Elephas maximus indicus: one gene and its partners. The protein of the gene in region 1 purifies or fractionates together with the protein of each later gene. This does not show direct contact. Links are inferred from orthologs where the notes say so. Each region holds a gene or a part of one and is shown in the gene's direction. Other genes may lie near its edges. The genes, in order: OCRL, SNX9, PLEKHJ1 and RAB1A.

What was found.
Region 2: the proteins of OCRL (region 1) and SNX9 purify together in Homo sapiens (co-immunoprecipitation; 3 studies listed by BioGRID and IntAct, with this or other methods). This does not show direct contact. The link is inferred for Elephas maximus indicus from reciprocal best matches to the Homo sapiens genes OCRL and SNX9.
Region 3: the proteins of OCRL (region 1) and PLEKHJ1 purify together in Homo sapiens (co-immunoprecipitation; 3 studies listed by BioGRID and IntAct, counting the BioPlex papers as one, with this or other methods). This does not show direct contact. The link is inferred for Elephas maximus indicus from reciprocal best matches to the Homo sapiens genes OCRL and PLEKHJ1.
Region 4: the proteins of OCRL (region 1) and RAB1A purify together in Homo sapiens (co-immunoprecipitation; 3 studies listed by BioGRID and IntAct, with this or other methods). This does not show direct contact. The link is inferred for Elephas maximus indicus from reciprocal best matches to the Homo sapiens genes OCRL and RAB1A.

Annotation. Positions count from the first base shown.
Region 1 is NC_064846.1:26,926,604-26,934,130, reverse strand, and holds the start of OCRL (inositol polyphosphate 5-phosphatase OCRL), read left to right. Parts: upstream 1-4,512; 5' UTR 4,513-4,697; coding exon 4,698-4,736; intron 4,737-4,975; coding exon 4,976-5,055; intron 5,056-7,527. UniProt on the Homo sapiens protein: Catalyzes the hydrolysis of the 5-position phosphate of phosphatidylinositol 4,5-bisphosphate (PtdIns(4,5)P2) and phosphatidylinositol-3,4,5-bisphosphate (PtdIns(3,4,5)P3), with the greatest catalytic activity towards PtdIns(4,5)P2.
Region 2 is NC_064819.1:230,099,599-230,107,379, forward strand, and holds the start of SNX9 (sorting nexin-9), read left to right. Parts: upstream 1-4,779; 5' UTR 4,780-5,016; coding exon 5,017-5,028; intron 5,029-7,781. UniProt on the Homo sapiens protein: Involved in endocytosis and intracellular vesicle trafficking, both during interphase and at the end of mitosis. Required for efficient progress through mitosis and cytokinesis. Required for normal formation of the cleavage furrow at the end of mitosis.
Region 3 is NC_064821.1:3,016,805-3,024,323, reverse strand, and holds PLEKHJ1 (pleckstrin homology domain-containing family J member 1), read left to right. Parts: upstream 1-4,504; 5' UTR 4,505-4,567; intron 4,568-4,863; 5' UTR 4,864-4,919; coding exon 4,920-5,013; intron 5,014-5,131; coding exon 5,132-5,199; intron 5,200-5,443; coding exon 5,444-5,510; intron 5,511-6,248; coding exon 6,249-6,339; intron 6,340-6,438; coding exon 6,439-6,502; intron 6,503-6,581; coding exon 6,582-6,647; 3' UTR 6,648-7,091; downstream 7,092-7,519.
Region 4 is NC_064835.1:71,584,358-71,591,706, forward strand, and holds the start of RAB1A (ras-related protein Rab-1A), read left to right. Parts: upstream 1-4,331; 5' UTR 4,332-4,554; coding exon 4,555-4,577; intron 4,578-7,349. UniProt on the Homo sapiens protein: The small GTPases Rab are key regulators of intracellular membrane trafficking, from the formation of transport vesicles to their fusion with membranes.

The DNA of each region.
Region 1 (7,527 bases):
GTGTATTCCTTCTATCTTCTTTTGATGCTTCCTGCATTGTTTAATATTTTCCCTATAGAATCCTTCACCACTGCAAATCAAGACTTGAATTTTTTCTTCAGTTCTTTCAGCTTGAAAAATGCCGAGTGTGTTCTTCCCTTTTGGTTTTCTTTTTCCAGGTCTTTGTACATGTCATCATAATACTTTACTTTGTCTTCTGGAGCCGCCCTTTGAAATCTTCTGTTCAGCTCTTTTACTTCATCATTTCTTCCATTTGCTTTAGCTACTTGACGTTCAAGAACAAGTTTCAGAGTCTCTTGCTTTCTTTTTTTCCTGTCTTTTTAATGACCCCTTGCTTTCTTCATATACGATGTCCTTGATGTCATTCCATAACTCCTCTGGTCTTTGGTCCTTAGTGTTCAACGCATCAAATCTATTCTTGAGATGGTCTCTAAATTCAGGTGGGATCTATTCATGGTCATACTTTGGCTCTCCTGGGCTTATTCTAATTTTCTTCAGTTTCAACTTGAACTTGCTTATGAACAATTGGTGGTCTGTTCCACGGTCGGCCCCTGGCCTTGTTCTGACTGATGATACTGAGCTTTTCCATCGTCTCTTTCCACAGATGTAGTCGATTTGATTCCTGTGTATTCCATCAGGCGAGGTCCATGTATACAGTCGCTGCTTATGTTGGTTAAAAAAGGTATTTGCAATGAAGAGGTCATTGGTCTTGCAAAATTCTGTCATGTGATCTCCAACATTGTTTCTATTACCAAGGCCATATTTTCCAACTTTGGGTCCTTCTTCTTTGTTTCCGCTTTTGCATTCCAATCGCCAGTAATTATCAATGCATCCTGATTGTGTGTTTGATCAATTTCACACTGCAGACACTGGTAAAAATCTTTAGTTTCTTCATCTTTGCCCTGAGTGGTTGGTGCGTAAATTTGAACAACAGCCATATTAACTGGTCTTCCTTGTAGGTGTAAGGATATTATCCTATCACTGACATGTCTTGAAATGTTCTTTTTGATGATGAATGCAATACCATTCCTTTTCGAGTTGTCACTCCTGGCATGCTAGGCCGTATGATTGTCTGATTCAAAATGACCAGTACCAGTCCATTTCAGCTCACTAATGCCTAGGATATTGATGTTTATGTGTTCCATTTCATTTTTGATGATTTCCAATTTTCCTAGATTCATACTTCGTATGTTCCATGTTCTGAGTATTAATAGATGTTTGCAGCTGTTTCTTCCCATTTTGGGTCGTGCCACATCAGCAAATGAAGGTCCCAAAAGCTTTACTCCATCCATGTCATTAAGGTTGACTCTACTTTGAGGAGGTAGCTCTTTCCCAGTCGTATTCTGAGTGCCTTCCAACTGGGGCGGCTCATCTTCCGGCACTATATCAGACAATGTTCCACTGCTATTCATAAGGTTTTCCCTGGCTGATCCTTTTCAGAAGTAGATCACCGGATCCTTCTTCCTAGTCTGTCTTAGTCTGGAAGCTCAGCTGAAACCTGTCCACATGGGTGACCCTGCTTGTGTTTGAATACTGGTGGCTTGGCTTCTAGCATCACAGCAACACACAAGCCCCCATAGTATTACAAACTGACAGATACGTGGAGATCGAGTTTATCAGACATTGTCAAATTGCTTTTCAAAGCAGTTCTACCAATTTACACTCGTAGCAGTGGATCAGAGTTCTATCTTTTCTACATCATCAATAGCACTTGGTGTTGTCTGATTTTTTAAATTTTTGCCAAACTGATGTTTGTGAAATAGTATCTCATGGTTTTAATTTGCATTTCCCTGAAAAGTTGCACATACTTTCATATCTTTAATGACTGTTTGGGTTTTCTTGTCTATGAATAGCTTGTTCATATATTTTTGTCAATTTTTCTACTAAGCTTCTTTCTTTTACTGATTTATAGAAGTTCTTCATATGTTCTGGATACTAATTCATTCATTCATTTAATCAGTATTTTTTGAGCATCTACTTTGTTGCAGGAAGGGCTTGACGCGCTGGAAATACAGCTATGAGCAAAACAGACAAAAATTTTTGCCCTCATGGAACTTACATTCTATAGGGAAAGATAAATGATAAACAAGTTCGATAAGTAAAATAGTATTTTTTTATATAATAAAATATAATAGATAGTAATAAATTCTCTGGAGAAAAATAAACAGGGAAGAGAAATAAGGAGCATGTTTACTTGAGGTGGAAGGATTGTTGAATTCTAATTTTAGATAAAGCAGTCTGGGAAGGCCTCATTGAGAAAGTTACATTTGAGCAAAGATGTGAAAGATATGAGGGTACAGCAGACGGAGCAGGAAGTAAAAAGGCCTTGAGGTAAGAGCGTGCCTGTCAAGTCCTAGGAACATCAAGGAGCCAGTGTGACTAAGATTAGTAGGAAAGAAAGTCAGAAATGTGATGATGGCCAAAAGTGTAGAGCCTCATAGGTCATCCTTTGTTTGTTTTATAAATTGAAAATGTCTTCTCCTAGTCTGTGGCTTGTCTTTTAACATGTTTTGAAGTACATACATTTTGAAATTTAATTAAGTTAAATGTATTGACCTATTCCTTATTGTTTATGCTTCCTAGTATCAAGTAATCATTCTTACTCCCTATTCCAAGGTCATAAAGATATTCTATTTTCTTCTGAATGTTGTAAAATTTTTCTTTTTTCACAATCAGATTTTTAATCTACCTGGAATTGATTTTTTTCCCCTCTGTGGTATGAGGTAGGGGTCTAATTTTATAATTTACACTTATGGGTAATCAATAGTCCCGGCACTTTTTGGTGGATAATCTGTTCTTTGCCCACTGATTTGAAATGTCACGTATGCTTAATATCAGCTTTCCATCTATGTGTGGGTCTGTTTTGGGGCTCTGTGTTCTATTGGTCTGTCTATCTCCATACCATACTGTCTTAGCTACTATAGCTTTAAAATCAGTCTTGGTTTCTAATCCATTGTAGAGTCTGAGCAGATAAATAACACAATTTGCTATGGATTAAATTGTGCCACCCCGCAAAAAAAGTGTGTTGGAATCCTAACCCCATACCTGTGCATGTAATCTTGTTTGGAAATAGGGTTTTCTTTGTTACATTAATTATATAATATCTGAGTAGGATGAGTTCTAAATCTAATCCCTTCTGAGTTATAAAAAGAGCAGATTAGACATAGAGGAGTGCTTGTGTGGTATAAATGGTTAAGCACTGGACTAGTAACCAAAAGGTTGGCAATTTGAACCCACCCAGAGGCACCTTGGAAGAAAAGCCTGGCATCTGCTTCTGAAAGGTCATAACTGTGAAAACTCTATGAAGCGCAGTTCTACTCTGCATGTATGGGGTTGCCATGAGTCGGAATCAATTAGAAGGCAACTGGCTGGTTGGTTTGTTTTAAGACGCAGAGATAGGAATGCTTGCGGGTGGGAGGGGTTCACCCTGGACTACCTACACAGAATCACCATTGAGACCCTTATTTGTGCTTTTAGCCTCCAGAACTGTAAGAAAAAAAAAATCTGTTCTTTAAAGCCATCCACTTGTGATATTTGTGTTACAGCAACACTAGCTAACTAAGCACAGTTAAAACATTACTCTGGGAAGAATATTTTTATGACTGTGAACAAAGTAAAATGGTTAAAGGAGAGATTAAATCCAACCTGACTTATTTGGGGAAAATGCAGTAACCCAGATAGGCTATCACAAAGGCTTACAATAAAGTACTGGTGGAGAGAAAACAAGGAGTAAAAGTAATTGCGAAGAAAATATTAACGAAGCTTGTTGGCTGATTGGATTCAGAGAAATTAGGAGAGCGGCAGAAAGCACATGGCTTTGCAGTTTTAAGCCTAAATGTCTGGGTGAAATTATTATGAGTTTCGTTAGTGTTATGTTAACAATGGAATATATATTAGGTAAGAGTTCCGGGGAAACCCTGGTGGTGTAGTGGTTAAATGCTACGGCTGCTAAGCATAAGGGTCGGCAGTTCGAATCCCCCAGGCGCTCCTTGGAAACTCTATGGGGCAGTTCTACTCTGTCCTATAGGATCACTATGAGTCGGCATCGACTCGACCGCACTGGGTTTGGTTTTTGGTTTTTAAGAGGTCTGGGCCAGGGATATAGATTTGGAGGTTGCCTGCTTAGAGTTGCTTTGGAAGGGGCGCAAAGGAGGAACAAGGCTCTAAGCTTTGGGGGATTTTCCTACTTAGGAATAGAAGAAAGAAGAGGACTGGAAGAACATCTGAGAGGTAGGATAACCACCGCGGTGCGTTAAAACATTAATAAGGATTTTTTTTGACTGGATGATATAGGTCCTATTGGCCTAACACGTTGTGAGTTCCCTTACAGGTATGACTGCGTTTTTGCTTCTGTGGTCATCTTCAAAGTACCCAGAACCATTCGGGTGTCACAGGTAGCACTGAAAACGCATTCCTTGCTGGACGTGGTAGAGAAGCCCCCAGTCCGTCGGGTCTCTCCCTGCAGTTCCGCTGCTTGGCCGCAGGGGGCGGAATCTGCGGCGGACTGGAAAACCGGCGGGGGCGTGAGGCGCCGCTCTCTCTCGGGTCAGGCTCTCGGCTCCCGGCTCCCGGCTCCCGGCGCGGAGCCGTTCCTCAAGCGACGCGCAGCAGCGGCGGGCGGGGGGAGAGGACGCGGGAGGCAGCGTCGTCGGATCCGCCCGCAGTCCGCAGCCCCGCTGAGCCCAGAGGCCGCCCGGATGGAGCCGCCGCTCCCGGTCGGAGCCCAGCCCCTTGCCGTATCCGCCCGAGAGGAGGGGGAGGGGAGGCCGAGCCGAGGGTGGGGGCCGGGGGACTGCGGAATCCTGGGGACCGGGTCGGGGGACGGTGGGGCCCAGAGGCCGAGCAATGCCAGGGGGTGCGGGGTGGTGCAGGAGGCGACACCGGGGGGTCGGGCAGAGGGGCAGGAGGCTCCCTCCGCACCGCACCACCCTCCCTGGGCGCGCTTCTAGAGGAGACCCTTAACCTGTGCCCACATACTGTCGAGGGTATGGAGATGAACGGGCCCCTTCGGGAGCCCTGCGCCCTAACCCTAGCCCAGAGGAACGGGCAATATGAGTAAGTAACCACCAGATCCCACAGAGAAGGGAGCTTGCCATTACCCCCACCCCCAAACCGCGACCACCCTGCCACCCTCCTGCCACCGAGGCCATGCGGGCAACAGGTTCAGGTCCAGGTGTGAAGCGCGAGTGCTCTGTAACGACGGGGCTGTGCCCTGAATTTCCAAGCCGCTAGCTTGTGCCAGGCAGTGTGGCTTAGTGGGAGGACTCAGTGGGCAGGGAAGCAGGAAGCCTGGGTTCTTAGTTCCTGTCCCTGCAAACTGACATGTGTTGTGTAACCTTGGGTAAGTCAATAAAGCTTGCTTAGTGTCCTCATTGCTTAAGTAAAAATATGAACTGCCTTACCTTATAGCCTTTGGAGTTATAACTAGAGGAATAATTAATAAATGGGGAAGTGTTTTACAAAAACTTAAAGCGCTATAGAATTGCTGCACTACAAAAGTTAAAGACTTGCCTTTTCTTAACCCCATTCAACTGGTTCCTCCAGTCTCCCCAGCCCCCATCCCACCAAATTCAAAACCTTTCAACTCACTCTAAGGAATGCAGAGTCATTAGTTCAGTAATAGTTTTGTGGAGGCCTCACACATTGAGAGAGAAAGGGTAATGAAATCTGTAGAAGTGTAAATGACATTTGACATTTTATCAGTGTGTGTCATCTTGCAGTTTGCACATAGGAGCTCAGTAAATACTGGTGATGGATTGATGAAAAGTTTTTTTTTTAATCACTGTAGCTGTTGATCTCACTCCTTTGCTACTAACGCCTCATCTCCAAAGTATCCATGGTGAGACCACAACATATCAGAGGCCCCTATCTCTGTGCGCCCAAGTCACCTCCTGTAGGTGCCCACTGGTTTCTTGATGTCAGATTTCTCCTGAGGTTAAGTGTCGACCCCTTCAACCCTGCCATCTCCCAATATTGGATTCTGCCTAAAAACAATTTCCCTCAGCCCCCACTTTCAGAATCTCCAGACTCAGTCTGTGTCTGGCTATCTAATTTACACAGAAAAAATGTCCACTGGCCTAGCCTGTCCTCTTCTGAGACTATTAGAACCACTTTAACTGGACATCATCTGGTTCTGTGAAGTAGCTCTTCCCTGGGCCCTGCTTGGTCATTTCTGTTGATGTGGGAAATTCATGTTATTTTTCCAGTTTCCGCAAACCCTGGAAGACCAGTTTAATAAACTAAGTTCAACAGAAAAATGGATTAAAACCTGGAATACCACTGCCACTTCCAAAGGCTAAGATGGGGTGAAGAGAACAATGGATGTGGAATCCACAGACCTGGGTTGAATTCTCAGTTGTGCCACTTTTGAAATGTGACCTTTGAGCAAACCAGGAAATGTTTTGTGCCTCAGTTTCCTCTTCTGTAAAAACAAGATTATGGGGATTAAATCGAATAGCTCCTTATGGAAATGACCACAGTCTAGGATCTGGTGTCTTGGTTTTGTAGGGTTGGAACTCTGTTCAGCTAATAAGCGACTGAGCAGCTGGCCTTGAGATAAATAAGCGCCTCATCCTATCGGAGCTCTGATACTAGAAGTACTCTTAAACTCACAACGGTAGCTCTCCTGACTATTTGTATCTTCTTCACGGAGAAATCAAATTCTTGTGTTCTAATTCTGTATAAGGTATTATAGCAACAACCAACATTTAATGGCTCAATATGTTCAAAGCACTTTTGACAGATCAGTTCATTTGACCCTCATGTGAGGATTATGATGAAATAGCAAGATGATGATCATCATCCCTCTTTTATAGGTATAGAAATTGAGGTACAGAGAGATTAAGTCACTTCTTCACAGGAAGTATCATAGCTGAGTTCTGAACCTCTGCAACATAGCTCTGGTGCCCCAGTTCGCAACTGCTACTCCATGCCTCCTCCCAGCTACGTAGGGAGGCTTGACTCTCAATCAGTAACCTATCTCAGAAATACATTATCTGAGTAGGTTTTTGAAAATCATTCCCTGGAGACCCCCTAATACCATAATACTATCTATAATCTCAAATTCAAGTCTTTTGGGTGCCTTCTCTGACTTGGGTAGCCAGAATTTTTTCATTTTTATTTTTTTTACTTTGGGCCTTTTTATCCTATAATTTGAAGCCTATCTTAATCTTCAGGGCTGTAGCTCTTGCTTGCAACCATAAAAAACCAAAACCAAACCAAGTGCCGTCGAGTCAATTCCAACTCATAGCGACCCTATAGGACAGAGTAGAATTGCCCCATAGAGTTTCCGAGGAGCGCCTGGGGGATTTGAACTGCTGACCCTTTGGTTAGCAGCCGTAGCACTTAACCACTACGCCACTGGGGTTTAGGAGAACTTTATTTGAGAGGCCAAAATTACAGTTAAAAAGGTTTTTGGAAATGGGGAATCAAACACTAGGGTTCAGTTTTTTTAAGGATAATAGGTTACGATAGAAGCTGTTGGTTCACCTTAAACCTTCTTTGAACAAATCAAAGAAGGCATTTTTC
Region 2 (7,781 bases), on another chromosome or scaffold:
TAACTAATATCTGTTGACTGCTTATTATGTACATATCATCTTGCTAAGTCCTTCAGGTTCATTATCTCGTTTAGTCCACACAACAAACCTGTGAAGTAGGTACTATTATTACTCCCATTCAGCAGTTCAGGGAATTGAGGATTAGAAAAGTAACGTGTGCCTAAGTAATGTACCACAGTTTGTAAGTAACAGGATCCAGATCTGTTGGCATGAAGTAAGTGCTCCTAAGGATGAAAGGAGGAAAAAAGAGAGAAGGGAAATGGCAAGGGGGCTGTATTTGTGTTTTGTTAAACCACCATACCTATATCTAACAAACTTCAAGTTATCAAAACATGAATTTTTAAAACTACCATTTCAACGTGAAAAATGTACTCAGGACTAGAGATGTTCTGAACTACAACAATGAAGTTATTATTAATCTCTGCAGCGAAAACAAAAGTGCTTTTAACACCGTAAGTCCGTAACCATAACACCCAAACATTACTGAACAGATCCAGGACAAGAGTTAATGGTCATTCTTTTCCTGTCACCACCAGCCTGTCACCAGCACAGGGCTTCCTATAAATCCTTATCACCCTATCTCCTTTGTCCTGATTAAAGGGCAGGAAGCCTAAACAGAGCCCCTCTGTTGTTCTGGCTACAGCTCTTTTTTGTTTTGAAAGTGCAGTCTAGTTATAACCAAAAGTAGTTTGCAAATGCAAATCGAATTTCTTAACTAACCAACTGCGTTCTCACCAATGGGCATAATGGAAACTCAGGCTGTAGAAGAAATACCTGAATTTAGCTGTGCCAGCCTCAATGTGAAGGAGCCCTCGTGCCTCATCCATTAAGCACTCAGCTGCTAACCAAAAGGTTGGCGGTTCAAACCTATCCATCCACTCTTCAGGAGAAAGACCTGGTAATCCGGCTCCATAAAGATCACAGCCAAAAAAAACCCTATGGGGTAATTCTACTCTGTCACGTGGAGTCGCCATGAATCGAAAGCGGACTCCATGGCACCTAACAACAAGGCTCAAAGCTAGGCTCTTCACTCTGAGCTTAGGCCAGTGTAGGGTGCCACCTTCAAAGTTGCTCAAAGGAACATATAGGGAAAGATAAGGAAGAAAGAGATGTGGATGGGTGATCAAATGGAAGCAGAAGACAAAACCACCTACTTCCTAACTTTGCCCAGGGCTCTTTGTGATTATCCTGAGTGAAATCCATTTTCTAGTTTGGGAAAAGCCACTCTTCCACTGGGCGCCTGGACTTCATGCTGAAAAGATGCTATTATGCTTCTCCCAATGTGGGCAGGAGGGCGCTGAGTGGTAGCTGCTAACACAGCTGAGATTGGAGTCCTTATCCTATTCTCAATAGTGACTCTTGAGGCCTTCAAGCAACTCCCTACAAGCTTCTCACCTAAAATGGTTTTTAGTTTGAAAATGACATGTTCAGGGATCTGTGATAGAGAGGTAGGTGCTTGTTCCTTCTCGGGCTTAATATGCGGACTCGAGTAAGTCATAACGTCCCTGGCCCCTTATCTGCGGCTGTAAAGGAGGGATTGACATTTTGCAACTCCGTGTATTTGGCAATTATATCCAGACAAATGCCAACCAATAGACTAGATAGTACATTATCGATAAACATGTATAGTTCAATGATAAGTCACACTAAAGTTATCCTGAACATGATTAAAATTTCTATTTATTGCATTTTTAATAATGAATTGGGCACTACAGTTCCAGGAAATACTGTTAAATTTAGCAGTTTTATGTTCATATGCATTAGTCAAAATCCTCACTTCATAAAATGTTGTCATAGCAGAATATCCCTTCTATGGAGTAGTAATTTTTTTTAACAGAAGTTTATAGTATATAAAATAAAACTTGCAGAAATCTTGTACTGTGCAATGTTTCGCATTACCTTCTGTTCCACGTAATCCTGAGTTCCTTGAAAGTATATTTGGGCAAATGCTATAGTGCTTAATTTGTGATTGTTCAACTGTTCTCATTCATTCATTTAACAAATATTTAGTGGGCTCTTACTCTGAGCGAGGTGTTGAGCTAGAGACACGGGATATGACGGTGATGTGACTGGTGTGTAACTTCAGGGGTGTTCTGAAGGACCAATGGGAGATTAGCTGGTGTGTGGAAGGGGGTGGGGAGAGTATCACCTTTTCATTTCAGACAAAGGAATAACAAACGCAGTATCCTTGCCAGGACCAACTACCTAATTTTCAAGGTCTTGTGAAAAATGAATATGTGAGGCCTCTTGTCCAAAATCTATTAAGAATTTCAGGATGGTGGCAGCAGAGCGTTAAGCCAAACATGGGCCCTTCTAAGCAGGGGACCCTGTGCAACTGACTACACAGGTCATATGCCCAAGAAGCTGGTTCTGGTCCTCTCTGTGGCAGAGGCCGCAATGCTCAGGAGAATCTGAGAGGCCAGTGTGGTTGAAGAAAGAGCTCTGGAAGGTGGTGTGAGATGGAGTTGGAGATCAAGTTCACCTGAAGCTGAGGTGAATGACATCCATGACTTCTGAGTCCTCTAAAACAATGCCATGGTGTGTTTACTACTTCAATGATATCGGTAGCGATTTTGTTTTTATTTAAATATTTTGATTGGTCTGCATCAGTCATCCTGAGTGTGGTGTCTCCATCATTACTCCTAAGATTGAAGCCAGGGCTACAGAAAATGTTCAAGTGGGAAAAGATTGGACTTCTTGCTTTCTTGGTTCTAGGTGCCCAGGATGGCTAGTTGCCCAGAAGTTCCCAGTTGAACATGCTGAAAGGCCTATCTTCACATGTATGACCCTGACTTTCCTATTAAAGCGTGTGTTTTAAATTTGAGTATAGGAAGCTATACTCAAATTTAAAAGAATATGATGAACACCTTACTTATAGTATTACCTGAGTTCAGATCCTGACATCGTCACATACTGGTACATGCTCTTAGTCATTATTTAGTTTTTTGTTTATTAAAATATGAATTCATGTTTTTTTTTTAAATAGTTAAAATAATACATATCCTTGGTCAAAAACTCTGAAAATAGCATCCCGTGAATCTTTACAGAAATTGTCTAGGCATATACAACATATCTACCTATTTTTTACACAAATGGATTGTACTATACATAACGTTCTTTTCACCAGTACTAATACCTCTTAAAATATTACCATTTTCTCGTGGGCTGCCTTGCATTTCATTTGTATGGATATACCGTATTTATTGAGACAGTCCTATTAACAAACATATTGGCTGCTGTCTGGTTGGGATTATTACAGAACAATGCTTTAAGGATCATCTTTCCTCACTTGTGCAAGTCTGACAAGAGGATAAATTCCTAGAACTGCTGAGTTCAAGGTTATGGACATTTTCAGTTTTGACTGCTGAGCAGTATTGCCAAACCAGGCAAGTTATTTCATTTAGGCTTGATTTCTTCATACCTGTAAATAGTGAACAATAACGGCTTTCCCAAAGGTTCCTTACAAGGATTAAATGAGATAAACGCATGTAAAAACTACAAAAAAAAAGCAAGTAGGCTGTCAGTGAATATGTCTTTGGCTTTCCTTTTACTTATAAAGACAACTATTTATGAATATGATGATGACTCTAACTTTGGCCATGAGCTCAGCAAACACAAATTTCACATGAAATTCTGTAGTGTTATATACCTTGAGGGGCCCTGCTGGCGCAGTGGTTAAGAGTTCCGCTGCTAACGAAAAAGGATGGCAGTTTGAATCCACCAGTCGCTCCTTGGAAACTCTATATAGTGCAGTTCTACTGTGTCCTGCAGGGTCACTATGAATCGGAATCGACTCGATGGCAATGCATTTTTGGTGTTTATTAAGAAAAACACTTTATTTAATATAATTAAGTGAAATCTTCAGAGATGTTCGAGAGGACACAAATGTGACTTTAACTGTAAATACCACTTCCCTAGCTTAATAAAACTGACTTGATGGATGACTCTTCTAACATATATCACTGATAATAAAAACAAAATGTACTAGATTATTATACCAACCAAGATATATTTTCGTCATGAGTTCTGTACTTGAGTGAAAATTTGGCTGCTCAAGTCATCCATTTATTAATAAAATCCATACATACAACTCTGAAGAAAAAGTTTTACAAAAAAGAAAAATTTTAGACCTTTTATTTCCACTTCTGATGACCTGTTGTCTTCCCCAAAACCTCTGGGGCCCTGAGACATTTTAATTTATCAAGAGTCATGAAAGAGGTTAATGAGACGCCTCAGAATGCAAGCCCCGAGAGTCCCGGCCCAGAAGCTCTAGTCGAGATTCCAGCCCGCGGTAAAACTCCAGGCTGAGGCAGAACCTCCTTCAGGAAGGACGGGTCCTCCCAGGAAGCCATTGCGCCTCTCCTTCCTGGCTGTTGATTTGGCACTCAGTTACTTTGCCCCGAGCACAACCGACCCCACAACCCTCCCGACACAGACAAAGTCCCCGATTGAGTGGCCCATACCCTGCCCGGGACGTGTATAGTGATTAGGGCCACACTCCTGCACCCCGCACGTAAATCTAAGTCCCCGGAGCGCAGCGTCTACGTGGGATTAGGGTCGACACACAAGCATGTCTCCACTGTGTTGGAACGTTTAATTCGCGGCCGCCTGGCTCCGTGACCCGTGTAGCCGGCCCCGACCCCTCCGGGCAGCGGCCCTCGGGCGTTGGGACAAAAGACGCCAGGCGGCTGCAGCGGTCGAGGCTGTGCGAGGGGCCGGGCGGGGCGGAGAGTGGGCGCGGAGGCCGGCCGCCGAGGCCCGGGCGCGCTTCCGCCGGCCTGTGCGCCGCGCCGCGGTCAATGGGCGGCCTCGCCGGCAGGGGCGGGGGCCGAGCCGGGCGGTTCAGGGACCGGAGGAGTGGCCGGCGGCTGGAGTCTCCGAGCGCGACGCGGCGGGGCCTGAGCGCCGAGAGTCGGGCCCAGGCGGAGCCGCCGCCGTCCTCGCTGGCCCGCGCGGCCCGACCAGCCGCGGCGCGGGAGAGGAGCCGGCCGTCCCGGGCCGGGAGGCCCGCCCGCCATGGCCACCAAGGTGAGGGGCGCGCGGCGCAGGCCTGGCCGCCGCTCGGCGCCCGGAGCACAGGAGGGTCGCCGCCCGGGAGGCTGAGGAGCCGCGCCGCGTCCTCTGAGGGGGGCCGGGCCCCGCCGGGGCTCGGTCGCGCAGGGCGGGCAGTGACGGGGTCGTTCGCACCGAGGGCGCTGGAGGCCCGCTCCAGGCGTGGAAGGGGCGCGGGCGGGCCCCCAGGACGGGGGACCCCGGGACGAGGGGGGCCTGGCCGGATGGGACGCCTCGCACGGTGCCCTGTGCAAAGTTTGCACCTGAAACCTGGCGGGAAAGTTGCCGCAGCTCGGAAGTTTCCCATGCGGACGGCCCCTTTGCAGAGTTGGGGTGGTTCCCGGGCGCCCCCTTCTCCGCGGTGCTGTGTTTTGGAGGCGGGAGCCCGAGGGGCGCGCCCTAGCCGCCGCTACCTAGTGCGGGGCCCGTGGGGCCAGGGCGGGTTGGAGTCCCCGAGCCCGGGCCGCCGAGCAGGGCTGGTGGACGGCCAAGCCACCCGGGAGCGTTGCGTTCATTTAATTGCAGTTAAACGCTCCGCGTGTCGACTTCGTTTCTCTTTTTATTTTTCTTGTTTTGCTACATTTTCAGGTTGAACGGTATTTCCAGCATGAATAAAATATAAAGAGGGAAATGACTGTGCTTTCAGTGACGTGTTTGCTTGAAAAAAGGCCCACGCCCGAGCTACATGGTGGAACTTTGACTAGGGAATTGGTCAGGAGGGTTCGTTTGCGTGTTTTAGTCTATTTGTGAAATTAGCAGTCACCTTTTGCTCCCAGAGTCAGCAAAAGCCACACTCCCCAGTTCCCTTTTCCTGGGGCGTTTTCAGTAGATACTTGATGTAAAATATTAACAGGTAAAGCCACTGTCGCTGCATGAGGACTTGGAATAGATAGGCGGCTCCTGGTTCAGTGTGCTGTTGATAATGTGATACGGTTTGGGGCTTGGATTTACTTTTGCAAATAGTCACTGTAGTATGACCTTCATAAACATCAGCACCCTTTTTCTGTCTGGTTTGAAATCTATAACCTACTTTTGGAACAGTGAAAACCTTAATTTTTGTTTGTTTGGCTTTTGTTTTTGGGAGAGGGTTACTTAGAAAAGTGATTAGAAACTTGAAATTTCTTTGAAAGGTGAGAATTGTCTCATTTCATTTCAGGCTGTTAAATTTTGCGCTCTGAATTCTTCTTAGTGTGTATGTTCATCTCCAGGTAACCTGTTGCCTGATGTAACTGAAATTATTACCTTCTTGCTAATATATTATTGGACATACTGGGTTTTATTAGATGGGATAGAACTTGCCCCACTTGCTTAACACATACTAATTTTTTGTTGACCTTTTTGAAAACAAAGCTTAAGAATTTCTCAGGAAATTTGATTTTGAGGTATGTTGCCAAACATTCCAGAAATCACCAGTTACACATCCCATTATACACTCATCTTGCATCCTTACACGTGATCATAGTGTTGTGGTATTTTCCACTCTGACGTATCTACTGAGGCATGTTACATGTACTTTTTAAAAAAAAATTGTTTTTCTTGTGGAGAATATACACAGCAAAACATACCAATTCAACAATTTCTACATGTACAATTCAGTAACATTGATTATATTCTTTTAGTTGTGCAACCATTCTCATTCTCCTTTATCGAATTGTTCCTCCCTCATTAACACAGACACTCACACGTCTAAGTCTCTTATCCAGTCTTTCAAGTAACTATTGTCAATTTGATCCCATGTAGATAAATCTTAAAACACTCAGTGCTCCAAGCAGACATTCTTTACTTAAGCTGAACTGTGGTTTTGAGAAGATGTCAGGGGATATTTTTGGTTTACGGTTTAAAGATTATCTCAGTACAATAGTTTCAAGGCTTCATGCAACTGCCGTGGCTCCAGAAAAGCTGGATTCCATGAACATGAAATTCTGTCTGCATTTCCCCCCTTTTGATCAGGATTCTTCTATAGAATCTTTTTTTTTTTTTAATTTTTAATTGTACTTTAGATGAAGGTTTACAGAACAAACTAGTTTCTCATTAAACAGGTTTTTTTTTAATATACATTGCTTTATGACATTGGTTAACAACCCCATGACATGTCAGCACTCTCCCTTCTCAACCTTGGGTTCCCTATTACCAGCTTTCCTGTTCCCTCCTGCCTCCTGGCCCTGGGCTGGTGTGCCCCTAGTCTCGCTTTATTTTATGGGCCTGTCCAGTCTTTGGCTGAAGGGTGAACCTCAGGAGTGACTTCATTACTGAGCGGAAAGGGGGTTCGGGAGCCATACTCTCAGGGTTTCTCCAGTCTCTGTCAGGCCGGCAAGTCTGGTCTTTCTTTTTGAGTTAGAATTTTGTTCTACATTTTTCTCCAGCTCTGTCCAGGACCCTCTATTGTGATCCTTGTCAGAGCAGTCAGTGGTGGTAGCTGGGCACCATCTAGTTGTACTGGGCTCAGTCTGGTGGAGGCCGTGGTAGATGTGGTCCATTAGTCCTTTGGACTAATCTTTCCCTTGTATCTTCTATAGAATCTTTGATTAAAACATTCAGTAGTGGTAGCCAGGCACCATCCAGTTCTTTTGGTCTCATGGCAAAGGGCACAGTTGTTCATGGAGGCATTTAGCCTCACATTCGATTTCCCCCTCTATTCCTGGCTCTCATTCTTTTTCCTCTTGCTCCAGCGAATGGAGACCAATTGTACTTTGGATGGCCACTTGCAAGCTTTTAAGACCCCAGGCTCT
Region 3 (7,519 bases), on another chromosome or scaffold:
GTGATGCTATCGCTGGTACCCACCCTCGGCCTGGAAGAGGTGGCATGCAGAGGTAACCCTGCTTGCGGGGAGACATGGAGCTGTCCTAGTCTCACAGCCCCACACGACCCCCAACAGGACCACCCTCTGACCTTCACCGTCTCTCCCAGGAGGCTGAAGGTCTCCTGTGGAGCAGGCCTCCAGAAACAAGGGGGCCACAATCTGCCTGGAGCGCAAGGTACCTGCCCGGGCTCGTTCCAGTGATCTTGGGGTGGGGGGAGGGGGTCACTTCAGCCAGGGGAACCAGAGGCCCGGAGACCGGAAATGGCAACACTGAGCTCACAGAGCCCCAAGTGCTGGGGCCAGGGAGGCCCTCCTCCAGGGAGCCCTCCCGACTGCCCAGGCCTGTGGCATTTGCTCCCTTCTCTGAATTCCCTTTCTGGTCGGTTACACTCACTCACCATCTACCTCTAATTCTATTTCTCTGGCTCGGTGGTCAGTTTCTTAAAGATAAGGAAAACGCCTCTTGGGTCCTTCCTGCTGGACACACAGGAAACAGTCACGGCCCATCTCTGGGCGAGGTGGCTTCCCTGAGTCCTAAGTATTCCCCTCCCACTGTGCACCCTGTGCTCCTTCTGGCTCAGCTCAGATCCAAGCCCAGGCTCGAGTGTTCCACGTATGCCCCTGGATTTTAGACACACGCTACCTTGTCTCTGCTCACGGGGACGGGCCAGCAGTCAGAGTGTAGTTGGCAGAAGAGTGGCCCCTAGAGAGGTCTCTGTACTACTCCCTGGGACCTGTGAATATGGGGCCTCCATGGCAAAAGGGACTCCGAACGGATGACGTGAAGGCTCTTGAAAAGGGGAGGTGATCCGGGATCACCCAGGTGGCCCAATGTGATCACAAGGGGCCTTGTAAGAGGGAGGCAGGAGGGTCAGAGTCAGGGCAGTGGGGACGGAAGCAGGCAGAGGTTGGAAGATGCTCCCCTGCCGGCTTTGCGGACGGAGAAAGGGGCCACGAGCTGCAGAATGCCGTGACCCCTAGAAGCTGGGGAAGATGGGGAAACGGTCTCTCGTGGAGCCTCCGGGAGAAATCTGGATGACACTCAGTGAAGCTGATCCCAGAGAACAAGTTTAAGTCCCCAAGTTTGTGGTGACCCGTCACAGCAGCCACAGGATACTCATATGCCAACCAACACCCTGGACTTGCAAGTCTCGCCCTCTTTCGCCCCATCAGGTGCCCAGAGCCGCCCAATGCCATGGCCTGAGCCCGGCCCGAGGTTGGCGCACACACAGCACACCGGCTGCTGTTCCCTGTCCCACCACGTTTGAGGAAAAAAGACACCCAGTGGAAAGCTCTTCGAGACACATCGTTCACCTTCCTAATCCAACATCAGCCGAGAGCCTCCTGTGTGTAGAAAGGATGTGCTGGAGGCGTTGCCTGACAGGCCTGGTTCAAATCCTAGCTCTGACTATATCACCTGTGTGATCAGCGCACATCAGTTAACTGCCTCAACCTGTCTGTTCATCTGTAAAATAGGATACCTGTCACTGCCTACCTGCAGGCTTATAATAAAGATAAATGAGGTAACTACCACTAACCTCTCTCCCAGAAAACAAGTTACTGTACCAAGACACTGAAATAAAGTGCCAAACATTAACAAGTCAAAAAACAAAAAAAAAAAACCAACCCCCCTGCAAAGCAAAAATGAGATGACTCAAACTAAAATTCAACACGAGAACTTGAAAGTAAAAGTCAAGCAGGTTACTCATAAAGAAGAAAACGATGAATAAAATACGAGGGAAAAAAACGAACTTAGACACAGTTCCACGAAGTGACAACGGGAAAGCAGCACAGAATACTAACAAAGAAGAGGAGAACGTTATCCAGGAAACACAAGACCCTCAACAAATGGACTGTGAAATGTTACACTACCAAGGACGAAGGCAAAACCCTAACCTCTACCAGAAAGAGGAGCCCTGGTGGCACAGTGGGTAAGAGCTTGGCTGCTAACCAAAAGGTCAGCAGTTTGAATCTACCAGCTGGTCCCTGGAAACCCTATGAGGCAGTTCTACTCTGTCTTAAAAGGGTCGCTATGAGCCGGAGTTGACTCAACCACAATGGGTTTTGTTTTTTTAAACAAAATGAAAACCAGTCACAAGCAAAAAATAAGAAACCAGAATGGGACCAGCCTTTTCAAGAACACTGGAAGCTTAAAACCAATGACCGTCACATTTTCAACCTAGAATTTTACACCCAGCTAAACGTCTAATTTGGGAGACTAAGTGAGAGGGCAAGAAAGAGCCATTTTCAGACAGTCAAGGACTCAAAAAAAACTTCTGATGTAATCGAGTTTGAGGCATGGAGAGAGAAGCTGGGGTGGATAGGACAAATAAACCCTCATCAACCCTGGTAGGAAGCCAGGAGATAATGCCCAAGATGAATAAAGTAAGACATAAGCATATTATTTACCAAATCAAAGACCAAGAGAATTGCCTTTAAAAACTGTAGAGAGGTGGCTTCTGGGAGCTGAGATTGAACAAGGGAGAAGGAATAGCAGGTTTTGACAAAACACTACGATCTTGTTGTTAGCTGCTGTCCTCATAATGCCCCACACGCAATGGAACAATTCGCTGCCTAGTCATGTGCCATTGCCATGATCGGCTGCAGACTGGATCGTGGAACCCACAGGGTTCTCACTAGCTGTTTTCAGAAATTGACTGATTGCCAGGCCCTTCTTTCTAGCCCATCCTAGTCTGAAAGCTCCGCTGAAACCTTTTCACCATCACAGTGACAGAAAAAACTCCACTGACAAATGGACTGGTGGTGGCCTTGCACAAGGTACACTGGCCAGGAATGGAACCCACATCTCCTGCGTGTAAGGTGAGAACTCTACCACTGAACCTCCACTGCGCATTAGCTCCTTAATCCTAGCAAACATTTTCCCAGAGCTTCTCCCAGTTGTTCCCTGCTGCCAAAGGGAAGCTGGGAGACAGCACTGAGCAGCAGTGCCCGGCATCAAGGTCTGACCACCTGGGCAAGTCATGCAACCTGAGGACCACCTGTAAAGTGGTGATGGCTAATATTTCCCAGTTGCTCTCACGGGTTTGTTTTTTTTGGGTTCTTACGGTGTGTAACGTGTATCACCCAAATGGCCTTTGAAAGGACAAATTCAAAAGATTTGAATTCCCGTGAAAACAGGAGAAGGAATGCCCCATCTCTATTATTTTCTTCAGAATTCACTTTGTTGTTGTCGGTGCCCTGCTGGTGGAGTGCTTAAGAGCTCAGATGCTAACTAAAGGGTCGGCAGTTCAAATCCACCAGCCGCTCCTTGGAAACCCTGTGAGGCAGTTCTACTCGGTCCTACAGGGTTGCTCTGAGTCGGAATCGACTCAAGAGCAATGGGTTTGGTTTTTAGTCTTAAAAGGAGATTGTCAGGTCTTTCTCTTTAAGAGCAGCTGGTGGGTTTGAACCACCGATCTTTCTGTTAGCAGTTGGGCGATTAACCGCTTCGCCACCAGAGTTCACTTTAGATAACTTGTAATCCTCCTCTATGTTCCCATTTTCCTTGGCAGGCGATTAGCATAAACAGGTGGCCCAGCCCTATCTGAGCTATAAAGGTTAGAAAATTAACAATTATCTTCAACACTTCAATGCAATGAGTTGCATCCATTCACCCACATAACGGATCAGATTTCTTCTCTCTGCCATCTCTTCAGTGGGTTGCCTGTGATACATCAGTTCTGATTTAATACTTACTGAATAGCAAAACTTTTCTTTTCCTTCTATTTTTGTGCACAGGTTTTCTGGGTTGGGCATAGATTTCGTTTTCAATAGTTTTCCCCAACACTTTATTTAACCCAGGGCCGGTTACCGCTGGCACCCCCATTTTACAGTTAAAGGATCTGAGGCTCCCAGGGATTAAGTGCTTCTCCCCCGATCACAAAGCCAATCAACTAACGGAGATAAAACAGTGTCCATAAGAGCCCTCCGTTACAAAGCGGCAGCTCACAACCACTGCAGCCGCGATTACTGTTACCCAGTGGCCAGACCTCAGCGGGTCCTTCCCGGGAGAGCTTCGAGACGGAAGAGGGGGTGTCGGGCTGGCCTCGCCGGGCCGGGCCCTCCGCCGAGCTGCGATGCGCGGGCACCGGGGAGAACCCGGGTGCAGAGAGCCCGACTCCGCCAGGCGGGAAAGGGGAACGCGACCCGGCCGCCAGCCCGCCCTCCGGCTCGCGCCCCGCAAGCCGCGCGGCCCGTTACAGGCGCTTCTCTCCCGCATCCGCTACGCTTCAGGGAAACCAGGCCCTCGGTGGCCGCCACCCTCGCCCCGGGCCGCCCGCTACTCACTCGCAACAGACGCCGCCACCACTCGGCCCCGCGTTCGCGCGTCGCAGACTAATGAAGCACTTCCGGGGCAATCGGCGCAGGGCCTCGGTGTGCGCATGCTCGGCCCGGCCAGAGGCGCAGGAGAGACACTCGCGCGCACAAGGGAAAGGGGATGGGGCTCAGAGTGCGGGCCGGAAGCCGGAGCGCGCGTGCGCACAGCGCTCCCGCCGAACTCTCGGTTGTCTTCAGCTTTCGCGAGGTCAGCTATCGCGAGAAGGGTGGAATGGCTCTTCTCTAAAACGTTATTGTTCCCTTCTGCCTTCCCCCTTCCTCCATTAAGGGCGCCGCCGGTCTTTGGGTGGTCCTTGATTTTGTCTTCACCCCGGGGCAATGTATTTTGAGGTGATGTAATGAGTAATGACTGTCCACCGGCCCCCGGACACCAGCGCCACGCACCGGTTAGGGACGAGATTAGCAGCCCGGGGTAGCGCTCAGGGGCACTGACTCTGGCAGCACTTCCGGGCTGCGAGTTGAGACTTTCTTTGGCGCCGGCAGGGACGGCGGCCGAGAGGGCGGCGGTCTGGGATCGCGTTCTCTCTCCCGGCGGCGCCATGCGCTACAACGAGAAGCAGCTGCAGGCGCTATCCCGGCAGCCGGCCGAGATGGCGGCCGAGCTGGGCATGCGGGGCCCCAAGAAGGGCAGCGGTGAGTGGGCGCCCAGGGAGCTGGGGTGCGCGGTCTCCGGGTCTCGGGGGTCCGGGTTAACGGGGTGCGCGGGAGTGGCCCCTCGGCCACGCGCCCTAAGCCGGCTCTGTGCCCGCAGTGGTGAAGCGGCGGCTGGTGAAGCTGGTGGTCAATTTCCTTTTCTATTTCCGGACGGACGAGGCCGAGGTAGGGGCGCTGTCCGGACAGGGCGGGGGTCCCAGGGACGAGCGGGACCAGCCCGCCCTTGGGTTTGCAGTGCCTTGTTTGCCCCCTTTAAGCTAGGAGTCGGGCGCTGGTCCTGTCACTTTGCTGTCTCAGACTCCTTCGTGGAATCCGCCCCCAAGAGGGGGAGGAAACCCAGGCCAGGAAGGGGCAGGCGCCTTGGGGAAGGGTGACCTGCGCCCCCATCCGCTTCTACGTGTATCTCCAGCCCATCGGAGCCCTGGTACTGGAGCACTGCCGAGTCAACCGGGAAGAGCCCAGCGGCTTCTCCATCAGTGAGTGGGGTTGGTGGCAAGGATAGCCGGATCCCCGGCACTGACATGCAGGGGTCCCCGTCGTCCCCTCCCCAGGCGCCCGAGGCTCCACCTGTCTCCCCAGCCTGGCGCCACCGTTCCCCAGAAACAAGGGGCCATTGTCCCTGGCAGCTCAAGGTCAGGTTTCTTTCTGGGCGGCACACCACCTGTCCACCTGCCAAGGCCGTTGCAGGCGGGGTTCCTCCCCAGCGGCCTCGCCCCAGACTTTGCCCTCCCCATGGGGCCCAGGCTGGACTCCAGCTGTTGGGATAGTGGGGGGGAATGATGGTGGGGAGGAACCACCCGGCATCCAAGCCCCTCCCCCAAAGGCCACCAGAACTTTGTTTTGCTTGATTAAGCACTGATCTCTTGGGATGTCTTCATACTCCGTTTTCTGGGCTCTCTTCTTGAGGTCCAATGTGCAGGGGGAGGTGGAGCCCGGTACAGGTGTGTCCAGCTCAGTGTGGTTTGTGAGGGGTGAGGCCAGGAGGACTGCCTGGAGAAGAGGGGTGGTGTTGCAGACAGGTGATAGCATATGAGCAAGGCCGTGAGGTGTGCAAGCTGGGGTCCCAAAATCCTGGGGTCAGTGGAAGCTGGCAAGTGGCGGGCCTGGCCCGGGCCTGGCAGTGGTGAGGGTGTGGCCAGTATCAGCAGGAAGCTGAGGCCTGTGGCCAGCGGGACAGACAGGCCCTCCCGCCCCCCCGCCCCAACCCCCGGCAGCCTTCGTGGAGGACACGGAGAGGAAGTACCATTTTCAGTGCTGCAGTGAGAACCAGTGTCAGGAGTGGATTGAGGCGCTGCGCCGGGCCAGGTAGGGGAGCAGGGGGTGGGGCATCAGCGGGGCGGGGCATCTGTGGGGACCAGCGGGCACCATGGAGCCGGTGACCACTCACCTCCTCTGTCTCCCTAGCTACGAGTTCATGCGGAGGAGCCTTGTCTTCTACAGAAACGAGATCCAGAAGATGACAGGCAAGGTGAGTGCGGGGCAGGCGGGCGGCGGCGAGGTCCTCCCGGGCCCAGGGCTCACTGTTCCTGCCCTTGCCCCCCTCCCAGGATCCCCTGGAGCAGTTTGGCATCTCTGAGGAGACCCGGTTCCAGCTGAGCAGCTTGAAGGCATGAGCCCCTGGACTGGCGAGGCCCTTGCTCAGGGCTGGATGAGCCCTTTCTCCTGGGTCTCCCCTGTGTAGGCTGGGTTTGTGGGGGAGGTGTTTTGTCTTCCCTAAGGCCAGGTGGGGTGCAGGGTGGCCCTTGTGGAGGAACGCACACGGACTGGCCACCCTTTGGGGCCGCTGCTGCTGTAGGCTGCCGGGGGGCAAGCGTCCACTTCTTGGCACCGGGCCGCCCCGCCCCCAGCTACCCCCTGGAGGAGCAGGGGGTTTCCCGCTGGCTGAATGTACAGTCAGACTGTGAAGCTGTGAAGGGCGTGGAGACACCACCGCCTGCCCCAATGTGAACTCACTCCTGCTGACGGGGGGCGGTGCCATGGCCACACCTCTGGGCGGAGCTGGACAGGGCCACCCTCGCCCATGTGCTCCTGTTGAAATAAACGTACCTCTTTTTCTACTGGTTGGTGATGATGAGAATGGGGGGGCTGGGGGATCCAGCCGTCTGTCAGTTTAGGGGGCGCTGGCTGCATGGTAGGGAGGAGCCCCTAGGCCCCGGGTGGGAAAAGGTCCGGACCCCACGGGGCCTCTAGCATAGGCCCTGATGGCAAGTGTAGGGAGAGTAGGGGGTAGGGGGAACCCTAAGATGAGTCCAACTCCCTGACACGCCCCCAAATGTGGGTGGGACCTGTGACACATCTAACCAATCACGTAAAGGAAAGGCGAGGGGTTTTTGCGGATGTAATTAAAGTGTCAAATTAGATGGTTTTGAATCAATCAAAACGGAGTTTATCCTGGGTGGGCTGGCCTAAACAGGTGAGAGCCCTTAAAAGTGGGAGTCGGCCCCCCCACAATCACAGCAGCTGCTGCTCTCAAAGTGCTTCCAGG
Region 4 (7,349 bases), on another chromosome or scaffold:
AATACTAGGTTTATAATTGAGGTATAACTTACATGCAGTTAAATCAACTTTCTTTTAGGTATACAGTTATATGAGTTTTGATAAACATATACAGTTAAGTAATTAACCACCACAGCAATCAAGATATAGAGTATTTTTTATCAAACCAAAAAGTTCCCTTGTGTCCCTTAGCAAACAATTCCTTCCTTCCCATACCTGTTGTTGTTAGGTGCCATCAAGTCAGTTCTGACTCACAGCGACCCTATGTACAACAGAAAAAAAACTGCCCAGTTCTGCACCATTCTTATAACCGTTGCTTTGACCCCATTGTTGCAGTCACTGTGTCAATCCAACTCATAGAGCGTCTTCTACTTTTTCACTGACACTCTACTAAGCATGATGTCCTCCTCCAGTGGCTGATCCCTCCCGATAACATATTCAAAGTATGTGAGACAAAGTCTTGCCATCCTTCCTTCTGAAGAGCAATCTGGCTGTCCTTCTTCCAAGACAGATTCGTTCATTCTTCTGGCAATCCATGGTATATTCAATATTCTCCATCAACACTATAATAAGTCAAAAGCGTCAATTCTTCCTTGGTCTTCCTTAGTCATTGCCCAGCTTTTGCATGCATATAAGGTGATTGAAAATATCATGGCTTGGGTCAGGTGCACCCTAGTCCTCAAGGTGACATCTTTGCTTTTTAACTCTTTAAAGAGGTCTGTGAAAGAGCACTCTAAAACTGAGGAGCTTGGGGTAACTAAAATGGCTGACACAGGTCTGAATCAGACTCCATTTTGTTTTAAACTCCTCCTGCTGCTTGTTAAGTATTAGTGCCACTTTCTCATCAACAAGTCTTGCTTTGCAAACAAATGTGGTTATTTTTCTTTGACTATGATTCTAGGAAGGGTGTGTGGATCGTTCTCAGAAAAAAAAAAATGCTTGCCCTCTAGAAGAATGTGTTTGAAAATAGATTAACTGATATGAAGAAAGGTCTGTTTGCAGTTGCAGTTACTCTAACCTTCTTGTATAAAAAACCTTGCCTTCGTTTGTAAATTTTGGAGCACTTTGTATTTTTACCTAGTGCTTCCCAGCTATAGCTGTTACTCTTCTTCAATAAATCCCCTTTTCTTTCACTCCTAACAGAGTATGAGATTTTTCTTTGTCAGATCTTTTGCAGCGAATTTGCCCCCTGCAATACGTTGTTTGATTTCTTGACAATCCTAGTTCCTGCCAATCACTGATTTGATTCCTGTCCCTATACATCTCATATCATTTTAATCTATCTTTGCATTTGCCCCTCTATGCCTTGTTTGTGTACACATCTCTCCCACTGGATTGTAATCTCCTTGAAGACAGACAGTTATAATCATTCGTCTTTGCATTTCCCATTGTTCCAAGAACAAGTTCCAAACACATTTAACACATTGTTTTAAGCATAAGTTCCAGACACATTTTTGTGTCAGCTCATGAATACCTGATGAAGAAAAAAAGTGGAAAGAGACGGAGAAATGAAAGTTAGAAAAAAAGAAGAGACAAACAGCCCTAGCAGAGTTCTGATTCAACAAGAGGACAGCCTATAAGACTCATGCTAGTTTAATGAATTATTCTGAGTTATTAATCTTAACTATAAAAGTGTTGTTGTTAGGTACTGATGAGTCAGTTCCAATTCATAGCAACCCCATATACAACAGGAAGAAATACTATCAGATCCTGCGCCATCCTGACAATCATTGCCATGTTTGAGCCCATTTCTGTAGCCACTGTGTCAATTCATCTCGCTGAGGGTCTTTCTCTTTTTTGCTGACTCTTTACCTAAAGAAAAAAAAAAAAATTTTTTTTTTTTTTTCTTTACCTTACCAGGAAACCCTGCTGGCATAGTGGTTAAGTGCTACAGCTGCTAACAAAGAGGTCGGCAGTTTGAATCTGCCAGGCGCTCCTTGAAAACTCTACGGTGCAGTTCTACTCTGTCCTATAGCGTCGCTATGAGTCAGAATCAACTTGACGGCAGTGGGTTTGGTTTTTTGTTTTGTTTTGACCTTACCATGCACAATGTCCTTCTCCAGGGACTGGTTCTTTCTGATAACACGTCCAAAGTACATGAGACGAAGTCTTGTTATCCTTGCTTTCAAGGAGCACCCTGGCTTCTTTCAAGACAGGCTTGTTTGTTCTTCTGGTAGTCATGGTATAGTCAACATTCTTCACCAACATCATAATTCAGAGGCATCAATCTGTCTCTGATCTTCCTTATTCATTGTCCAGCTTTTGCATGCATATGAGGAGACTGAAAATATCATGGCTTGGTCAGGCACACATTACTCCTCAAAATGATACCTTCACTTTTTAACACTTTAAATAGGTATTTTGGAGCAGATTTGCCCAATGTAATATGTTGTTAGATTTCTTGACTTGCTGCAGTTGGAGACTTAAACAACTTGAAGTAAGTTGAAACATCCACCCACCACTCTCAAGCTGCTACTTGCATATTATACCATAATGAGATATAAAGCTTTTTGTCCTTAGTGTATAGCAGGTACACTTAAAACTTGCAGGGAAGAGGATAAAGAGAATTTTTAACCAGTGCCCTCAAAAAGTCATTGTGTTCTACAATTCTATTCGATTTTATTTCATTCTCACAACCAATTTAGGTTAAAAGTTATTAGAAGGTACTTCTTTGCTAGGAAAAGAAATAAGTAAAGGACTTTGGGGGTATGCTTCCAAGAGGAAGGAGAGATTAAAAATTGCATTTTTGGCTCAGGAGAAGTCCTTGAGCCCTTTTCTCATTTTTTATTCTATGAAGTTTCAATAAGCTAGAAGTACTGAGGTATGTTACTGTTCAGGGTGTCTATCGTTGACCCATTCTGGGTCCTTCTTCTGAGGTAGTGACTGTGTTCATTTCAGAAACCAGCATAATGTGAAGGAACTCTAGTGTACCTTTGATGAGGTTATCAACTAAGGTGCCAGCACTATTTGGGGATTAAGAGTTGTAGTTAGTAAAAATGGGGAGAAATAAGAACCACCTTCTTTCTATACTTTGATGTCATGAGAATATAAAATGATTTTGCAATAAGCCTTAGGAGATAATTTTCTTGGTTCCTAGAGCAAGTTGGAAGATAAACTTTGGACAACGTATTATACTGTGCCCTTCGTAATTAAATAACCCAAGATAATGTCTTAAAAGTTTAGTGATTTAAATTCCTGAACTGATTAAAGAGAGCTGTTAAGACCACAAGGTTTCAAAATTGTATCAATATTACTCCCTGAGTTTCTAGTTATGTATTGAGCGTTTCTATCCCTCACTACTGTCCAATCTTACAGATTGGCTCAGTACTAATAACAATTAAAAATAAGACAGTACACTTCCACTCAAAGGCTGGGGCTCGAACAGGAGGGACCTCGAATTTTAGGCTGACTCTGGGCTGTGTCTCATCCACGGAATGCGGAGCCATTGAAGATGTGGGGTAGTCAACATGAAAGTGCTGTTTCGGGAAGATAAATCTGGCCGTGTGTGCAAGATGGGCTGGGGTGGAGAAGAAATAGATGCAGAGTCCATTTGGAAGCTACCGCAATATCCAGGGTGAGGTGCTAGGAGCGGGCTGGAATAGGAATGAAAAGAAATCAAGAAAATGGGACTGCGTGCGGCCAATACTGGGATGATCGGACCCACTGGAAGAGTGAGGAAGAGAACTGAAAGAACGGCTTTGTGTTTTCCAGAGACCCGAAGTCTTTGGCAAAGTGCCTTTTACTTCCCTTCTATCCTGAGAGCGGGCATCCTGGGACCGGCCTAGAAGCTCAAGCCCCAAGGTGGTGAGGCCAGCAAAAGCCGCACCAGAGGCGGACCCGCCAGGCGTGTCCTCCGACACCCCCGGCCAGCCCGCCTCGGCACTCAGGCTGTCCCTCCGGTCTGACCCCTCCCTCCCTCCTCTCCCAGCCCCCTGCACTCACCCCACCCCCGTCCTCCGCCGGCCCCGAGCACTGCGCTCTGCCCCTCCCTTCCCCCTCCCCCGTGGGGCGCTGACTCGCCCGGCTGCCACGTCTCACTGATGACATCACCAGGGCAGCTCGGCGTTAGCCAATCCGCTAGGGGGAGTCCGAGCGAAGACCTAGCCAGCGAGTCAGCAGGGAGGGGAACGGGGAGGAGCGGCTGGGTGGGGGTGAAACTGGGGGGAATGAGGCGGACCACAGCCCGTCAAATACGCATGCACCAAATGCGCAGCGCTTGGCGGGAAGTTGAGTCCTGGTCCCTGCGCTGCACCGTCAGTCCTTAGCGCTCACAGACGCGGCCTGCGACTCTCTTTCCCGGCATGCCATGCGGTGCGGCCGCCCCCTGGCCGTGTAAAGGCCCCACGGTCTAAGGCTTCCCTATTTCCTGGTTCGCCGGCGGCCATTTTGGGTGGAAGCGATAGCTGAGTGGCGGCGGCTGCTGATTGTGTTCTAAGGGGACGAAGTGGGGGAAGACGTTTGCTCTCCCGGAACAGCCTATCTCATTCCTCTCCTTTGATTATCTGTGGCGCGGAGAGTCAGGGCGGCGGCTGCGGCAGCAAGGGCGGCGGTGGCGGCGGCGGCAGCTGCAGTGACATGTCCAGCATGAATCCCGAATAGTGAGTGTAGGAGAGCACCGGTCGGCTGGATCCGTGGGCTAGCTTGGGGAATCTCAAAGGGGGCGAGGAGGGCGGGGGTAGAGGCTTCGGCCGGGGTGAGGTGAGGGTGATGGGGCGGGAGAGGCCCGCGGCCAGGAGCCGGGCCCCATTGTCTGACGGCGGAGGGGCGGCCGGGGGGAGGGGGCGGGCCGGAGGGGTGAGCCGAGGGAGCCTGGACCCGGTCAGGTGGGAAGGCCGTAGTGCAGGGCCGGTGAGGAGGAAGGGGCCGCGAGAGAGTTTCGGGGAGGGGGGATTCAGGCGTTGGGAGTTGAGTGGTGGGGCGGTGGGAAGAGGTAGCTTCTCTTGGAGGAAGTGACTTTTGAAGGACTCATTTTTTAGGGTCGGAGGTAGGTAGGAGAGCTCTCCAACGGGGCACTATCAGCCCCTGTTCCTGCACCCTGCGGAGCTGTCAGGATCGCCAGGGTAGAAACCAGCTTTACTTGTAAATTCTGAGGCTATTTACTCTTTCCTCCCATCCTCCCCGCCAGGTTGCAGGTAATATGGATGCTTTTCAGGACTGCGTGGGATTGAGGGGAATGAGTAGCTGGCGAGAAGCGATTTAAAATTTTTGTTCTCTCTTTGAGTTTTCTGAAGGAGTTCTTTAAGAACTCGCCGGGCCCTTACTTTCCTAAGAACCTGGACATTTGGGAGTTTTTTTTATTTTTATTTTTTATAAGGAGGACGCAGAAGTCATTTTGTTTTCCGTAGGTCAAATAAAAGAACAAAACTGAAACCAAGGACCGTCTTCCTAATATTACCAAATTCAAGGAATCCTTTGCTGTCAAGTTGAAAGAGAAACGAATGGGACCTATGGTAGATCTGTAGGTTTTGTATTACCTGCTTGAATGCTTGCAGATAGGGAATGAGGCTCCATGACGTGTCATGAAAAGTTAATGCATTTTTTTTCTTGCTTACTCAGAAGTCACCACAGCAGATGTGACACACCTGGCTCCTTTCTTGGGAACTGGTGTTTACTTTCCTTGGGAAGACTTGGTAGGATTCTTCTCAGTGTCCATTGAAAAAATCCTCCTGCAGTATCCTCCACACGTGCACATATATATAAATTAATACTTGGAAAAGATTTAATTGATAATTCTCTTTAGAGTCAGCAGTTTTTAGGAGGAGAGGGGAAATTTTTTTTAAAGCAAAAATCAGCGTTTGTCCTAAAAGTTGAGTTTATTTGCTTAACATTTCCGCTTGAAAAGTCCACTCATTAGCTGTCATGTGTATGTCACATGGCTCTTGCAAAATGCATTCTGACTTCAAGTTTGGTAATGCTGCGGTTTGATGTGGGAATGTTCTTTCTTTTGTACTAAACAGAAGTCATAGTATTTTATTAGAATTTTATATAATTCGAGAAGTTGAGGATAGCGCACTTGTAGTAACATATTTGCTGTGTTGACAGTGTTTTATTTCTTTATCTGGGGCTCCAAGGACAAAGTTGGTTTTGCATAGTTGGACAGAGTTTTCCTGGCAACAGTAGAGGACGTGGATTTACCACTTATGAAGGTGTGTAAACCTCTGCTGTTCAGGGAGTTTTTCATATTTGCTACATGCATGCAGTACTGTAAATAGATCTTAAATATTAGTTGAACAGAATCTTGACAAGTTTCTTATTTTTGTAAAATAGGATAATGGTCCCGTCATTATTCCTACCAGGATCCTCGTGAGGTTCAAACTATAAGAGTCCTCTTGAGGTGGTGTACATCGTTATGTAAAGCATTATAGTAGTGCTGGGATTTAGGGATCTAATCCTTACCATCAAGGAGTTTATAAGGGAATATAGAACATAGATTGCATATATGTCAAATACCAGTAGGTACAGCAAGTTCTAGATAGGTGGCATGAATCTAAGCAACCAGATTTCAGAGGCGAGTGAGTGGTTTGGTTCAGGAAGGCTTGAAAGAAATGGAAGGTCTGACCTTTATAGAAACGGACCTGTAAGGGAATTAGAAGCAATTAGATTTGGTGAAGCAGAAGGGAATGAGGATTTTCCAAGGGGGTAAAAGGTAGAGGAATGGCTGATAAATGGCAAGAACAATACTTTTTTTTTTTTTTAAGAAAACATTATATTGTTGAATGGCTTATTTTACTGACCTTAAAAAGAACATTTCTGAGGAATTTACTTGGTGAAATATTAGTGTTAAAATAGTGAAAAACCAGGATGCAAAACTGCTTACAATAAGATCTTAATTATGATATTAAAATACGCTGAAGAAAACTGGAAGAAAATTCTTTAAAATATTAATGGTTACTTTCTCAGTTGTAAGTTTTTTTTACACTTTTACCTTTTTCAGTTCATATATACTGCTTTTATAGTTGGAAATTTATTAACTTTCAATTATAAAGACAGTATTTCTTTAGTAAATATGGTGTCAGACCATCCGTTCTTTTGAGTGCTATGGGTTATTGACTTCAACAGAATCAAACCTAGAAATAGTTTTTACAGTTTTTTTCCAGGTTCGAGTATTCTCCTTTAAAAAAAAAAAAAAGAACAAACTAAACCCATTGCCGTCGAGTGGATTCTGACCCACAGCAGCCCTGTAGGGCAGAGTAGGACTGTCCCGGAGGGTTTCCAAGGGTTCATTATGGAAGCAGACTGCCACATCTTTCTCCTGTGGAGCAGCTGGTGGCTTCAAACAGTGGACCTTTCAGTTAGCAACTGAGGGCTTTAACCGCTGTACCACCGGGGCTCCATTCACCATTAGGCTGCTGTTATATTCTAGACTGTGC